Linked DNA regions of Xenopus tropicalis. The protein of the gene in region 1 interacts with the protein of each later gene in a pairwise test. Links are inferred from orthologs where the notes say so. Each region holds a gene or a part of one and is shown in the gene's direction. Other genes may lie near its edges.

The links.
Region 2: the proteins of egfr (region 1) and stap2 interact in a protein complementation assay, tested with the Homo sapiens proteins (3 studies listed by BioGRID and IntAct, with this or other methods). The link is inferred for Xenopus tropicalis from reciprocal best matches to the Homo sapiens genes EGFR and STAP2.
Region 3: the proteins of egfr (region 1) and chd5 interact in a protein complementation assay, tested with the Homo sapiens proteins (2 studies listed by IntAct). The link is inferred for Xenopus tropicalis from reciprocal best matches to the Homo sapiens genes EGFR and CHD5.

Annotation. Positions count from the first base shown.
Region 1 is NC_030682.2:56,743,008-56,748,492, forward strand, and holds the start of egfr (epidermal growth factor receptor), read left to right. Parts: upstream 1-2,168; 5' UTR 2,169-2,189; coding exon 2,190-2,274; intron 2,275-5,485. UniProt on the Homo sapiens protein: Receptor tyrosine kinase binding ligands of the EGF family and activating several signaling cascades to convert extracellular cues into appropriate cellular responses.
Region 2 is NC_030677.2:93,953,836-93,958,638, forward strand, and holds part of stap2 (signal-transducing adaptor protein 2), read left to right. Parts: intron 1-2,385; exon of another isoform or gene 2,386-2,467; intron 2,468-3,177; 5' UTR 3,178-3,287; coding exon 3,288-3,362; intron 3,363-4,088; coding exon 4,089-4,160; intron 4,161-4,803. UniProt on the Homo sapiens protein: Substrate of protein kinase PTK6. May play a regulatory role in the acute-phase response in systemic inflammation and may modulate STAT3 activity.
Region 3 is NC_030683.2:98,554,701-98,559,503, reverse strand, and holds part of chd5 (chromodomain-helicase-DNA-binding protein 5), read left to right. Parts: intron 1-4,188; coding exon 4,189-4,362; intron 4,363-4,803. UniProt on the Homo sapiens protein: ATP-dependent chromatin-remodeling factor that binds DNA through histones and regulates gene transcription. May specifically recognize and bind trimethylated 'Lys-27' (H3K27me3) and non-methylated 'Lys-4' of histone H3.

The DNA of each region.
Region 1 (5,485 bases):
ATAATACGAAGGTTAATAAATCAGCAGAAATCACTATTATTGTCTTTTTTTCTATTTGTACCCACAGCTATTTCTATTACCCTGTTTAGGCAGCTGGACTGCAAACACCAGGGGAGGAACGCAGGAAGGGCAGTTGCCTTTTTACTTTTCTTGTGAGCAGTGTTTTCAAGGATTGCCCTTTGCCTTTCCCTTGTAAAAAAGAATAGAAAACAATATTAGTAATCAGGCCAAGACTGGGATTCAAAATAGCCCCTGCATTTCAAGTACACAGAAGCCCAAACAGCCCCTCACCACCCCAATAAATAGTGTCTAAACTCTAAACTTCCCCATCCAGTGGCTCCTGAGCAACATGTTGCTCCCCAAACCCTTGGATGTTGCTCCCAGTGGCCTCAAAGCAGGTGCTCATTTTTGAATTTCTGGCTTAGAGGCAAGTTTTAGTTCAACAAAAATGGTCTAATGCCAAACAGAGACTTCTGTTGGCTGCCAGTCCACATTGGGGCTATTAAAGGAGAAGGAAAGGCTAAGTCACTTGGGGGTGCCAAATGTTAGGCACCCCCAAGTGACTTAGATCGCTTACCTTGTACCCCAGGCTGGTGCCCCTGTTAGGAGAAAACAGCACCAGCCCGGGGTACCTGCAGCGAGCCTTCCTCCTTCCATTTTCGCGCTGCCGGCGAAATCCGTGGGCCGGCGCATGCGCAGTAGAGTGAAAAGCCGACTTCTATGTTTAAGTTCGGCTTTTTCACTGTACTGCGCATGCGCGTGCAGCGAATACGGAAGAGGAAGCGCTTGCAGCTACCCCGGGCTGGTGCTGTTCTCTCTGAACAGGGGCACCAGCCCGGGGTAAAAAGTATGCAATTTAAGTCACTTGGGGGTGCCTAACATTTTGGCACCCCCAAGTGACTTAACCTTTCCTTCTCCTTTAAGTAGCTCTTATTTGGCAGCCCCAGGAATATTTTTCATGCTTGTGTTGCTCCCCAACACTTTTTTAAAAAGGTCGGGGGATCCCTGCTCTATAGCATCTCACAGCAGCCCTTCTGTCAGCTGAGGTTCAACTCCACATTATCCCTTGGTCCATCCTGGCTGCTCAGTGAAGGACCCTTTGATTTTTTCTATGCCCTTCATAAAAGGCATCTGCCTCTTACCAGCTTTTACTGGGTGGCTGGAGGAGGGCTGGGGGCTCAGTTGTTTAACACAGGGTTACCAGATCACATGAAATTTCAGGGACACCTATACATGTTACATTTAATTGCAATCACTGCAGCCCTGGATTTTATTGACACGTTCCATAATTTTGAAGTTAAATGGTAACTTCTTATCTAGACACCTAATATGCACCGCATTGATCCAAACAGTCACAGGTGTCATTTTTGATTCCCTGGAACACTCTAATCTGGCGTTTCATGTGACAGCGGAAGACGTGGTGCTTTACAGCCCATCGCAGAAAGACAAACTTTAGCTTTGTTAAAACGTATTTGTTGACAAAATGTATTTGTCAAGCAGTAGTTTTCAGCTTCCATTTTACTTTTTGAAGCACTCCAGCATTTACAAAATTATATTTTGCTCATAAATATAAACGATTCTGCTGATTTGCTAGTGAACTGCATTATTGCGCGAATTGTCTCCTATTGTGTTTGTTGTGACCAATAGGTGGCGCTGCTTCCCTTGCTCCTATGAAGCTCTGCCAGGAGTGAGCGATAATAATGCCCGTAGCTCGGCTCGTCCTGGAGTGTGAGGAAGGCTGTGGGAGGGGGAGTGGAATGAGGCACACCTCTCCGTGATGTCACAGCAGCCAAACATGCCAGATTCTTTTCGTGAGGGACTCACACAGACCGGCTCGTTCTGTCAAAAGTTTTGCAACTCCTGGGAAGTGAGTGTGGAAATAGGGATAAGCAGTTCCTGTCACTGGCACTTCGTTTACTCCCTGCTGTTTCTCCATACACCAGATAAGAGAAGACACTGGACTGTCTCATGTGAGAGAGCCCCACAATAAGCTCGGAGTCCAACGCTCTCAGCTTCCTTCTATTCCCTCCGCTCCCCCGTGGGTATATATCGTGTTCACAATGGATGTGAGGCGTTCTGTGGATTTGGGTCACTGAAACAAGACCGGTGTCAGAGGCAGCAGATAAAGCACAGGACTGCAGGAAGGATCCATCCTCATTTCTGTTCTTGGGGGTAGCTGAAGACTCGGGATGGGGTCTTTTAGCCGGAGTGTGGGATTATATATCTGCGTCTTCTTCGTCAGTCAGTCCTGCTTTTCTCTGGAAGAAAAGAAAGGTAAGGAAAGAAATTCACTTGCCACTTCATTGCTTCTGTGCCTGTAGGGAAGCCAGCCCTGGCACACAAAGGGTTATCAGACTTTCTGCGTTTCTGATAGTGGCAGTGTTGGTTTGGCTAGTGAATTGCCTCTCTCTACATCCACTTATTGATTTCCTGTGACCTACAGAGTGTAGCCAGGAGTATAGGGTGAGCCTACCTGGCTGGATACAGGTAATCCTCCTCTGGTCTGAATATGGGACAAGGGGACTCCCTGTGCCTCCTATGGGAACTATAAGGATACAGGAAATACACAAGAAAGTAAATCCCTTTCCTTCAGTGGGCTGTGACAGCAATATTACAAAATTATCCTGAGAAATTGGTCTTGTGTTTTGAAAAGACATGCTTTTGTGATGGCAGAGACTGTCCTGGAGTGTGAGCTGTGTACATTTGTAGTCACCCTGTGTATAAACTTGTGACTATGTCCTTGTAGAATGGTTACAGAAACACCTCTATAAAAGAGATACTTAGTGGGTGGATGTAATAAAAATCATCCTATGGTATAATTGCATAAATAAGAACAAAAATGTGTGCTCAGCAATGCATTATTTGACTATTATTGCAATATTATGCATTAGACAAATATTGCATTGTGACTTTTAATTACACATAACACATTTGTAAGACCTGCTGCAAGGTGGCATATTTTTTGTGCAAATTTTTTTTTGTTTAATTAAGAAGCTTTATAACCTATACTGTGCACTAATGCAAACAATAAACTGCACAGTATTTTTGTACTGTTATATGGGTTGCTAAATAGTTTAGCTGGTTTGCAAACCCTATATTAAATATGTTCAAAGGATAAAAAGCTTGCATAGTGAATAATTTTTCTGACTTAAGTTACTTTGCCCTCATTGGAACTCATCTTCAGCTTCAAAACCCACACACAGGGCATAAGGCAAGAGCAAGGAACTTAAAAAAACTACAAACAGTTATTTACATAACTTACAACAGTTTTATTTGCATTTGATGGATTGATTGATGCAGCAGATAAACAAGTGTTTAAATATGTATATATCTACAGTATATATAGAGAGGCAGGCTTACTGGTGAGTGAATGTATGTATAGTTATAAAACGCCAGCATCTGGACTTAATATAAAATATCTGTGACATTTCATGGGAGCCTATGCTACTGTCCAACAATGATTTTTTTTTTGTTTTTTTTAATGAAATTGATCTTGCCTCTGTTTTCAGTTATGTGTTGTAGCTTATATAACATTAAGAACAAAACCCATTTTTTTTTTATAAATAAGTAGGTGGGTGAAATTCTTCTCTGACTTCTGAGCAATTTGTTTTACCACGCTCTTTCAGACCACAGATGGTTAACATATACTGTCATGTGTGTAGTTAATAGGATCCGCTAAATAACTACTAAGGCTAAGATGCTGGCTCCCCACCCTTTTTAGAAAAGAATTTATCAGGAGCTTGCTATACAAGCACAGATTTGTATTTGTTCTAGTACATTGCACTTTGTACTGTAAAAATAACAATACTTTAACAGTTCTGTCATGTGGGCATGCTGAAGTCTTGACTTGGGGCAATAGAATTCAGTCTGTTCCAGGTGTGCAGTTCGACTGAATAAATGTGACAATGTAAACGGGGTTTCGTACGATATTATCAGTGAGTGTATGGCCAGCTTTAGACTAAACTTGTCCCCCCACCATAATTTTTATTTCCTTCTGCCACAGTGGTTGCAAATTCTGTTGGTGCCACAAACATTCCACTATGGAATGTATAAATAAATAAATACATGTCAAATCTCAATGAAACCTTTATTTAATGTTTGTGTTTTGCATATTTTATACTTATTTCAGCCGCTTTACATAATATTTTGTCTTATATAAATTGGTACAAATGTCATTGCTGCTGATATCACACTGATATTTACCTGGAGCCAAAGGATTTTTTGTACTTGTGTGTATGATATATTTATGACATTCCTTCAGTAAGACCTCTGCCTGGTATCTGTGCACCTGACTCCCTGTTTTTGCTTTATGTGTTTGGCCAAAGATGGATTAAACAGCTTCCTTCTACTGCCTAACAAAAAAAAACATTACGTCAGTCCATCTGTTTAATTACAGTGCAATATTGGCAGCCCAAAACTGCATATCAATCTTCATATGTTAGATAACATCAGGATGGCTGATATACAGAAGTGCTGGCTGGCACAATAGGAGAGTTCTCTACTACGCATAGAGAGTTGGGTAGAACTTTCAGAACTTCATGGAAGAATTGCTATGCCTTTGAACACTGTATGACTGTGGGTATTTGTGAGCCCGAAGAACTGTGCCACATTTAATCATTTTATAAGATAAAACTAAAACCAAGCTCCCTGCAATAACTTGATCATACACTTTTAAATCTTCATGCCTGGACAGAGCATAGGTGATGATTTAGTATCATGGTTGTTCATTTCTTCTAATGGTTCTAATGTAATTAAACTTTTGATTGTGTAATATCACTTACGAGTTTTACAGCAGGGAAAAACAATTGGACCAACACTTCCTGATCTCTATGGAATTCTGTCTAATCTGAAAACCTACCTTGTCTAGCAGGGGAAGGCAACAGTCATCAAGCAAGCTGACCTCTTTACTGAAACCATAGTAAATGTACAAGGCTGGAGTTCAGTTTCCATGTTTGAATCAAGTTGCTGTGTATTACAGAAACTCTGAGGGCATCCTGTAAATGTTAATTGTTCCATCTAGTTAATTAACAAAAAGAGGTAAACAGTAGGAACAATGCAGCATGCAGAGACAGGCCCCCACAAGCAGCCGTAATGCTACACTCTGTAAAGATTACATCTAAAGAGGGCAGAGAAAAATATAAGCCCTTCCACTGCACTGAAAAAGAAAATGTAAACTAGTTTGCATTTACTAAATAGAAATATGCAGATCTGACTGTTTAGTGCACACAATACCATATGTTCTCCCTTTTAATAAAATGCTTATATTTCCAGTTTCCTGTGTGCCGTTCCCCATAAACCTATAATAGGCTTTGTAAATAAAAAATGATTGATAATCCATTATGAATACAGTTGTATTAGGTTTAGGCAGGCACTGGATGTTAATTTGACAGTGGACAAAATAAAGGGGCATGTTTGATTTCACTACATTGACATGCTTTCATCAACTGGTGCAACTTGGGGGGAATAAAGACATCCCAGGACAGTA
Region 2 (4,803 bases), on another chromosome or scaffold:
GCTTCTGACCCTACAGACAGATGCACATAGAAATGCCAGTTTCCACCCCAAACAGAGATCAACACCTAAGAAAACTCATCAAACAGGGATACAACACCAGAACAATGGATAACCAAATCAAAAGAGCTATCCCCATACCCAAGGTTAAACTCCTCCAATACAAACAAACCATAAAGAATAACCAGGCCCCCCTTGTTATTACATACAGACCACACCTAGAGGCCTTAAGCAAAATCGTGAACACACTCCAACCCATGATACAGTTTGATGATGGGCTGCAAAATATATTCCCTGAACCACCTCTACTGGCATAAAGACAACCACCAAACCTTAAAAAACAAATTGTATGAAGCTCCATTAATGCTCCAGCAGAAAGTGGCTCATCAGTCTGCAAGCAAGCAAGGTGTAAAACCTGCACACACATTTTACACTACAGGCCATGTACCTATACCACATGGCTAGCAGGAACACATAATAAAAGAATCATACTCCTGCAAGTCATCCAATGTGGTATACCTTATCCCAGCTACAGGGCTATATGTGGGGTAAACTGGAGAAACACTACACCAGGGGATGTCCTCCCACATAACCAACATCAATTTTGGAAGAACAGATCTGATGATCTTCGAGTCATTATACTAGTGGGCAACTTTAAAACACAACATGAGCGAAAGGAATGGGAATATAAATGTATGCAAAAATTCAATACCCTACATAACAGCCTTAACAGGGAAAGAAGTTTTATGGCTAGATATGGCTTATAATACCTTTATTATGATCTTAAGGTGTAGAGTAAGATCACCCAATTTATTATACACAGTCTAAAACACACACCATTGCTATTTGCTTTCCCTAGTTGTGGGAATGCATATCTTCATTTTGCAAAATGGTGAAATATCTGTATCTTATGGTAGTCAATAGGCAGGAATTTATCTGGGGGCTAATATCTCGGTGTAACGTAGTTGTGACATAAGTTCTGCTTTATGTACTCAAAATGCGGAACTCTCTGTCAAACACTCATATTTCTTTTTATGTAAAGAAATGTAAAGAAGGCATGGCCCAGTGTTTCCACCACAGTGATGACTTATTAACTTCTGTCCCTGATTTTCAGTTTGGAAATCTTTAGCGTTCAGCTTCTGATGTCACTCAGGCAGCAAGCAGAATAGGCAGCAAGAAGTGCCAATGCCGGTGTGGTTGACAGACTTGTTGGTGCAGTCAGTGTGTCTGTGGTTTTCTCTGCAGTTGCATTTTATTTCAGGAGTGGGGGCTGGTAATCTCAATTTGGATGGGTTGAAATAATAGTAAAGCAGGACCACTGCACTGATTAAAGCATTTGCCTTTGGGTGCCAAAATATCTTGACCCAGGTCTGCTCCCTGCACTTCCATAAAGTTGTGTATGAAGCTGCTGCCTTCCTGCTTTCTGTTCCAAATTTTTGCAGCTATGCCAAATGCTGGAAATGGCACCAACTGGACTTTCGTGTCAAAGTGCTTCAGTTTTAATACATTAGCCCCTATTTGGTCAGATGCATCCAATGCCAGATTTGTAACTACGCCACCCAGAGGCCACCCCCATCCCCCGCCCCCTCCCCGCGCTGAGGATTGCGCAGATTCGCATCCACTTATTCCACATATGCAGCACTGGGGACAGAGCACCCAGTGCTCTGTATTTTATCAAAATTTAGGTGCAGTTGGGTGGCATTTTTGTGCTGCCCTAGGCCTAGGTCTTTGTGACCTCGCCAGAAATCAGGCCCTGGATGCCACTTGATCTCCACTTGTTGACTACAATTATTCTGGACTCATGGGGAAAATGCTGCATTGTGCTTATAAAAACATGGGAATTTGCACTTAGCCCACAGCAGTTGCGGTCATAAATAACCCCTTATCCAGCATTCATGTCAGTCCCTGCCTCAATGAAGCTTACAGTCTAAGTTCCTGTCACATTCACACACAGTAGGGTCAATTTTGTCATAAGCCAAGTAACCTGTCAGTTTGGGAGGAAACTGGAGTACCCAGAAGTAACCCACGCACCCATAGCACCTCTTGATACTTTACTTTGCAAATGGTGCCATGTAGCTGCTTTGTGACATTATTTTATTTAAATAAGGTACATGACTGTTAAACAGTATGCTTGCTATTTCATTGAACAAACATTGGCATCCATCAGAAAATGTTAACCTTGGTAAGCTTAAGAACATTCTACCAGCCAATTACTGTATACACAGGATCCAGTTAGTTATAATCTATGTGCCTGCATACAGGAAGCATGGTGTTTTTCTCTTTGGGGATTTCCCTAGTCTAAAGGTTATTTTCTTATTGCTAGGACAGTTTTATTCTTACATTCTTTTTAACTCTTCATTGCACAAGAGAGAAACTTGCGTGCAGTATCTGAAAACAAATAACTTATGTGTTGGTGTGACAATAACTGTTACTTCGTAACTGTACGAGGAATGTAGCCATGAAATAGGAGGTAATGTAAGCAATGATTCTAAAATGTAAAAGTGTAAATGATTGGTGAATGACAATAATTTGAACTTTGTGGATCTGTGCCAGAATTGTAATCATTAACAATTTTTTATACTTTAATCATTCCTTTTCATTAACCATATCTTACTAAGTAAGAGTAGCCAGAAATAGCAAGCCTCTGGCCATAGGAACCTAAAAAAATAATTTAGAATTTTAAATTCTACAAAATCATTTTTAAAACTCGTGACAGGGAGTCAAATTATGTACTACAAAGGTTGCAGGGCCCAGGAACCTTTCTTTATCCTAGGAACTTAAAATAGCTCTTTCACCACAGTGAGCAAAAAACTCAGTGAAAAGTGACCAGGAGATTGGGGGTGTTAGAGTATGTTTGTTTGAGTAGCAAGAAGGGGAACTATGGGATGGCAAGGAATGGGATTTGCAGACCAATAATGGCAGGTCATTTAGTGATACTTTTAGCACAAAATAAGTTCTTTTTTTGTCTGACTTGACTTTGGTCAATTAGCAATTTCAGTATTTATGCCTGTATGTATATGATTTTTTTTAAATAAAAAAATAAGCTCAGACATGCAATGTTAAGTGTGAGCAATGACTTACATTGTACTAATGCTTATCTGAATCAGTAGATGTTTTTCTACAATATAAATTCTGGTACTCATGTGGTTAAACTCCATGTTGTTTCACCTCCCTCTTTAGAAAAATTACTGGAATGTAAGGCAACACCCAGCTTCCTGTAAAGCAGCTAGTACCTGCAGTCATTACAGTCAAGAAATCTTACCTGCAACTCGTTCACCTGCTTACCAGCCATGTCCAGAGCAAAGACACCTGCTCCTGAACATTATTACGAAGAATATCTTTATAAAAAAGACAAAAATGACAGGGTATGTAATTTGCTTTAGTAATGCTTACTACCGTCCTTTCTGAACATTTTAAACAGCCTTGCAGTGCTAGCCCTCTGACTGAAATTATCAGCTAGGGAAATAAGCTTTATTCATGTAGAAATCATTTTATTGAGATTTAGGCAAAATGAAGTCATAAAAGCACTGAGTACTATAAAAATATGTCTTTTCTGCTTTTCTCTGTCTCTCTTTTAATTTCACCTATTGTTTTCACGCATATTTTAACTTGTTACGTTGTAACACATATTATGATTGAGCCCATTTAAAGGAATTGCATGGTTTATGGAGCAAAGAGTCAGGCAACATTTAAAACTGAGTTTTGCTCTTTTAACTTATTTTATCTAATGCCAGATTAGGTTTTCATTGCTCACAGTATGCTGAGGATTGCTTAACCTATCAGCTCTTTAACTTGGCTAGCTTAATTTTTCCTTCTCAATACTTGACCTCTACCAGGGAGAGTTGGCAAAACCCTTTCCTATTTGCCTACAAGCCCCTAATCCATTATGGAGCCCTTTATCTCTGTATAGCCCTTATTTAAAGTACTGTTCAGTACTGCCAAGTGCTTTTGCTGTATTGAGATTTTATACAATCATTTCCTGTCCTGACATAAAAGAACACAAAAAAAAACTTAACAATGCCTCATTTTATCCTGAATGACATTTTATCAAATCTTAATGTTTTATCCCTTTTTCCATGCATTGCTTTTAGGGATTTACAAAGCTTTGGGCTGGAATTTTAGGAAACACTCTGTGCTTCTACTCCAATCACAAGGATTTGCGGGTAAAACTACTTGTTCATTTACAAATAAAGAGGATGGATCTTAATGCCTTTTTCATTAAAGAAAGCTATTATTCTCCATTTCCTTTTGAATAGAAGGCTGAGAAGGAGAGGGAGGTGCACTATTCAGTTACACAGATACTATGAAAGTCCATTTAGCTTTTGCAAAGCCGTTTTAGTGTTAACAGGAAGAAAGTAAGAATAATAACCAGCTTTGCAATTTTCAAGTAAAGTTCTTCCTGATTGTAAAAATGCCTAACTTGATAAATTAATGGATCAGCTACTACTAATTCTATTTAATAAATAGGTATATACTTCACTTCTAGAAGGACATCCAAAATGTTGCCTCTATCTAATACATTGAAATTGTACAAGATTTTACATTTTCTAAACCTTCAGGCCCTACAAGAATCAAATGTCCTACTTTCTCATAAATTAACTCCTGTGAACCCAAACCATTTTTAAACCCATCCTTTGATTCACTCCAGATTATCTCACCGAGCCAGCAAATACATGAATTTAATTGTCATTACAGTAAAGAATAATTCATATTGACAAACTTTTGCATAGTTAGGTTTTAGGTCTGTGTTTAAATATAGCTAATGCAGTTCAAAGTTTAGTCTACAGAAATGACTGCCTTTTAGAA
Region 3 (4,803 bases), on another chromosome or scaffold:
TCCCATACCTGTCTGTCTGTCTGTCTATTTATATAAACTGAAGAGTATATGACCAGTGTAAAGCCAAGAAATTTTACCAGCTGCATCGTATTTTTACTGAGTGGCTGGCAAGTTATTCTCTTCCTTTGTCTGGGGCTTCAATTGCATATTCCACAGCTTGTCAACATTATTAGGCTCAGTTCCTGCCAACTGTGAAATATAAAAAAATATGAATAATTCATATGTGGGAGGTATAGCATGTTCTCACCGCAGAATGAGAAAGATGATGAGTCACACCGAATAGATATTGATTATAGATGCTTTGCAAATGCCTTTTGTGCAAAAAAATTACTTCAGTAGCTTTCATGCAGTAATAACCTAACCTGTTGGGATCAGAGAGATTTAAAGTGAATGTGATGTGTACCTTTCTGACATAATAAGCATTTCATTCTAGACTGGCATGTTTAATAACATGTATATGACTATTGTATATGACTATTGTGTTTTACCAGTATGGTAAAACACACAAAAAAAACAAAAAACAGTGGGGCTCATTTCTTAATATTGGGCACATTTGTGCCTGGACAATATTCCATAACAACCAATCAGGAATTAGTGTTTTTAGCCAGCTGCAGGAAGACAAGGTAAGCAAAAAATTGCCATGGGTTACTGCCCAGTGTTGATAAATTATGCATTACAGATAAGATATTACTTAAAGGAAAACAATGTAGGTCTCTATAAAAATATATAGAATACAAAAGCTCACATGTAAAACCCTGCTTCATCTAAATAAACCATTTAAAAAAAAATATATATATACCTTTTTAGTAGTAATCGTAAATAAATAAAAAAAATCACCATTTTAAGTAACCTTGGGATCATACAATTCCCTGTGCACACTCACATGTTAGGCCACATCAGCCAATTAATGGACAGAACTCTATCTTTTACTCCCACATTTCCTGACTTCCTGTTACAGTTAGAGCTGCATTACTTCCTGATCTCTGAGGGAGCACACAGACCATCACAAAAGGGTGGCTCAAAGGGAAAAGATGTAAAAGGGCAATATATATATATATATAGAAGGTGCTTGAGAGAGGGTCAGCACTCACAGGACTTATATAAACAAATTATTTTTTATTAAAGAGGAGACTAACAGTTCTGCTTCACATGAGCCCCATGAGTTGAAATAGACTCATAATCAAGAAAACTTAGTCAGTAATTTACTGACCAAGTTTTTTTGATTATGAGTCTATTTCAACTCATGGGGCTCATGTGAAGCAGAACTGTGTTGATACAAACTTGTTACTTTCTCGGCTCACCCCTGACAGCTAACTACAGTAGCGTGTTAATTTTGATACTTTTGTTTCTGTTTAAGCTGCTGCTTAGACCTTTTGATTACTTGCTTGTACTTATTATTATTTCTTGTGTTTTTTTTTTATTTCATGTTTTCAGTTTTTTTATTGATTTATCTCTGGTATCCTGTCTCTGGCGACATATGATGACGTCATCTCCACTTTTTTAGACACTGTGTTTGTTGTATTCACCACTTTGATAAAGGCTAGAGTGCTAGCCGAAACGTTAGTCTCCTCTTTAATAAAAATAATTTGTTTGTATAAGTCCTGTGAGTGCTGACCCTCTCTCAAGCACCTTCAACATTATTTGGACCTGCACCCAGGCAACAGCAACTTATCTATACGTGAGTGCCGGCATTTACTTGGAAGTTTATATATATATATGTATTATGTATGTATTTATGTATATATATATATTTATATATATATATATATATATTGCAGTTTGGTAGGATTCTTTAATAGGCCACATTTTATGATATAAACTATTTGTTGGCTAAGTATTTGTTCTGGAGTTAGAGGTTTCCTTTAAAGCACATTCCCATCTCTCTCATTTAAAATAGCATAAGAGTGGTAATGATAATAGCGAGCAGGGAATTTAAAGACTACTGTCATGGAAAACATGTCTATCTAAAAATGCACCAGTTATTAGTGACATGGGGCTACACACGTTCTTAGTTTTGCAGGTGCCTTCAGCCATGTGACTTGTGCTGATAAACATTCACTCCCCCCCCCCCCCCTCAACTGATCAGCAGAACAATGGGAAGGTAGAAAGATAGCAGCTCCCTGACACCTGTATTGCTAAAAGTGGTAGATTAGAGAATACCACTCTATAGTAAACATCCAAGTCTGCCTCACCCAAGTCATGACTCCTCCAATTACATTGAGTAGGAGAAACAATAGGTTATCTGAAAGAAGTCCTAATGTGTAGCACTGGCTCCTTCTGAAAGCTCAGACACAATGCACTGAGATGGCGCCTACACACCAATATTACAGCTAAAAAAATGCATTTGTTGGTTCAAGAATAAAATTTTAAATGGTTGAGTGAATTATCTGCAATGTAAACAGTGTAATTCAAAAATAAAATACATTTAACTTTATTTAGAATTGTTTTGGTTGTTTCACATTTACTCCAGCATTGTCATTATTACATCTTTAGTACACTGTCCTTTTTTCCATTTCTTTAGCCTCTTAGAATAGGTTATCATTTTTGTGGAGTTTTTCTCAATTTTAGTCACAATGCTGAATTGATTTTTCTTCCTGTGATGTGACTTCATCAGCCAGTTCAAATAGACTTCATCAGCCAATTAGAATATCCAAGGCTATTGTGATACTAATATCTACAGTTAGTACTAGTGGTTGTATTTATAGCTTATGTATGTGAGTATAGATTGGTAGGTGTGGGTTAGGTGTGCTGGGTTTACTTGGATGGGTTGAACTTGATGGACACAGGTCTTTTTTCAACCCTATGTAACTATGTAACTATGTAACTATGTAATTATAATATTCTCTATTAGAGTCCTGATATATCATCATTGCTGCTAAAAAATACCAGGGGATCTTTTTGAACACATTTTACCTTTTCATGATTAGTGAAGCTATTTATCAGATTATAAGATATCTCTCCAATCTGTGCCTTGCGTGTGTATATATTTATAAAGCTGGACAAGAATGTTATATTTAGGGGCAGATTTATCAAGTTTAGAGCTTAATACACAAAAATTCACCCGTGCTCTTTTCATTCCTATGGGATTTTTAGAAGTGTATTTATCAATGGGTGAAAGTTAGAATTCACCCATTAGTAAATTTGCTTATTCATATCCCATTGGAATGAATAGAACATGTGTGAGTTTTTGTATATTAAAGTACAAGGAAAGGTTAATATAAACTAAAGGCATTATTTTTAAGTACTTACTGCATATCTAAATTCCCAGATCCCTGCTTGCTTCTCTGAGATATGGTGCTGGCAGCCTACAGCAGTGTGAAGACTACAGTGACATCACTGAAATCTCTCTCCCCTTCCTGTAGGCTGCCAGCGGCAGTAGCCTCCAGTAGCAATGCACATGTGCGTAACTTGATCCTGTCTCCTGTTCTGAGCTACACATGCCCACCAGCCAATCAGAAGCGGATCTGGCAGAGGGGAGGGGGGGGAGGGAATGAAACACATGTGTATGAAGCATGCAGGGAAAGGAAGGGAGAATACCTTTTTAAAGATGTCTGCCTGGTCAAGAAACCAGATAGAAAATGTGAAGTAAGTGTGACTGAGTAAATATTTGATTAGGTGAGCCAAAAGTGTGGGGTTTTTACTAAACAATATGAGGACTATTGGGCAGTGTGCTTTTTAAATTTTGACTTGCATTCTCCTTTAAGCTCTAAACTCACATTTTGATAAGTCTGCCCCTTCATGTGCAAATTCTTATTTGCGCTGCAATTACCCATACAGATCTATGCTTGCACACTCTGCATTTGAGTAACCCCAATAGAAAACATATTCGCAAAAAAGTTTTCTCAAATTGCAAATTTATATTTGCAAAACTACCCTCAATGCAAAGTTCGCGCACACCGACTACAAACAGTGGACATGCTCACGCAAACACACATCTCATTTGCGAGCCATATGCAAATATTTTTGCAAAATGTGCATCTCACCACGATTCACAAAACAGCGGTGCAATATTTAAGCATTAAGGGGAAAACATAATCATTAAGTTTATTAATGAACCCAAATGACTGTAATGTAGTAATGAATGTATATTAGGAAGCTCGCAGACTTTAAACATATTAGCTATTCTCAGTGACTGCTCATATACCGGAAGGGAACCTCTCAGCAGGCCTGCTGTGTTTTGTTTTTCAGTAATCTAGATGGGTTTTTGGAAGAGTTTGCAGACATCTCCAAGGAAGACCAAATTAAGAAACTTCATGACTTGCTGGGACCCCACATGCTTAGGCGGTTAAAAGCAGATGTCTTTAAGAACATGCCAGCCAAAACAGAATTAATAGTACGAGTGGAGCTCAGCCAAATGCAAAAGTAAGTCTGTATGAAAACCTGTTGGTTAACACTATGTAATCATTTCCAGTTATCATGTGCTACTAAAAACCCAATGCTTAGTCATTCAGATATCACTTATGTTTGATAAAATAGCTCCAATGCAGTAGAACTGAATAAAACATTGAGTGAATGTGGTATAAATCTGAATTTATATTCACAAAGTATTTCTTTCCTTACTATGGGAGTTGTATGCATATATCCATTTGAGATTATATGGGGTCAACTGCTAAGGAAAACAAGAGTATGTGCACCCAGGAAGCCACTGACACTGGGGAGCAGGGATCAACAGAAAGTAAAAGTGTTAGGTCTGTGGTGAGATTTAAAAATTGCTTAAAAATAGTTATATAACTACAATTTGTTTCAGTGTTTCAACTTTAGAATTTGTTAGTATTATTGGAAGTTACCCTAATCATACACACA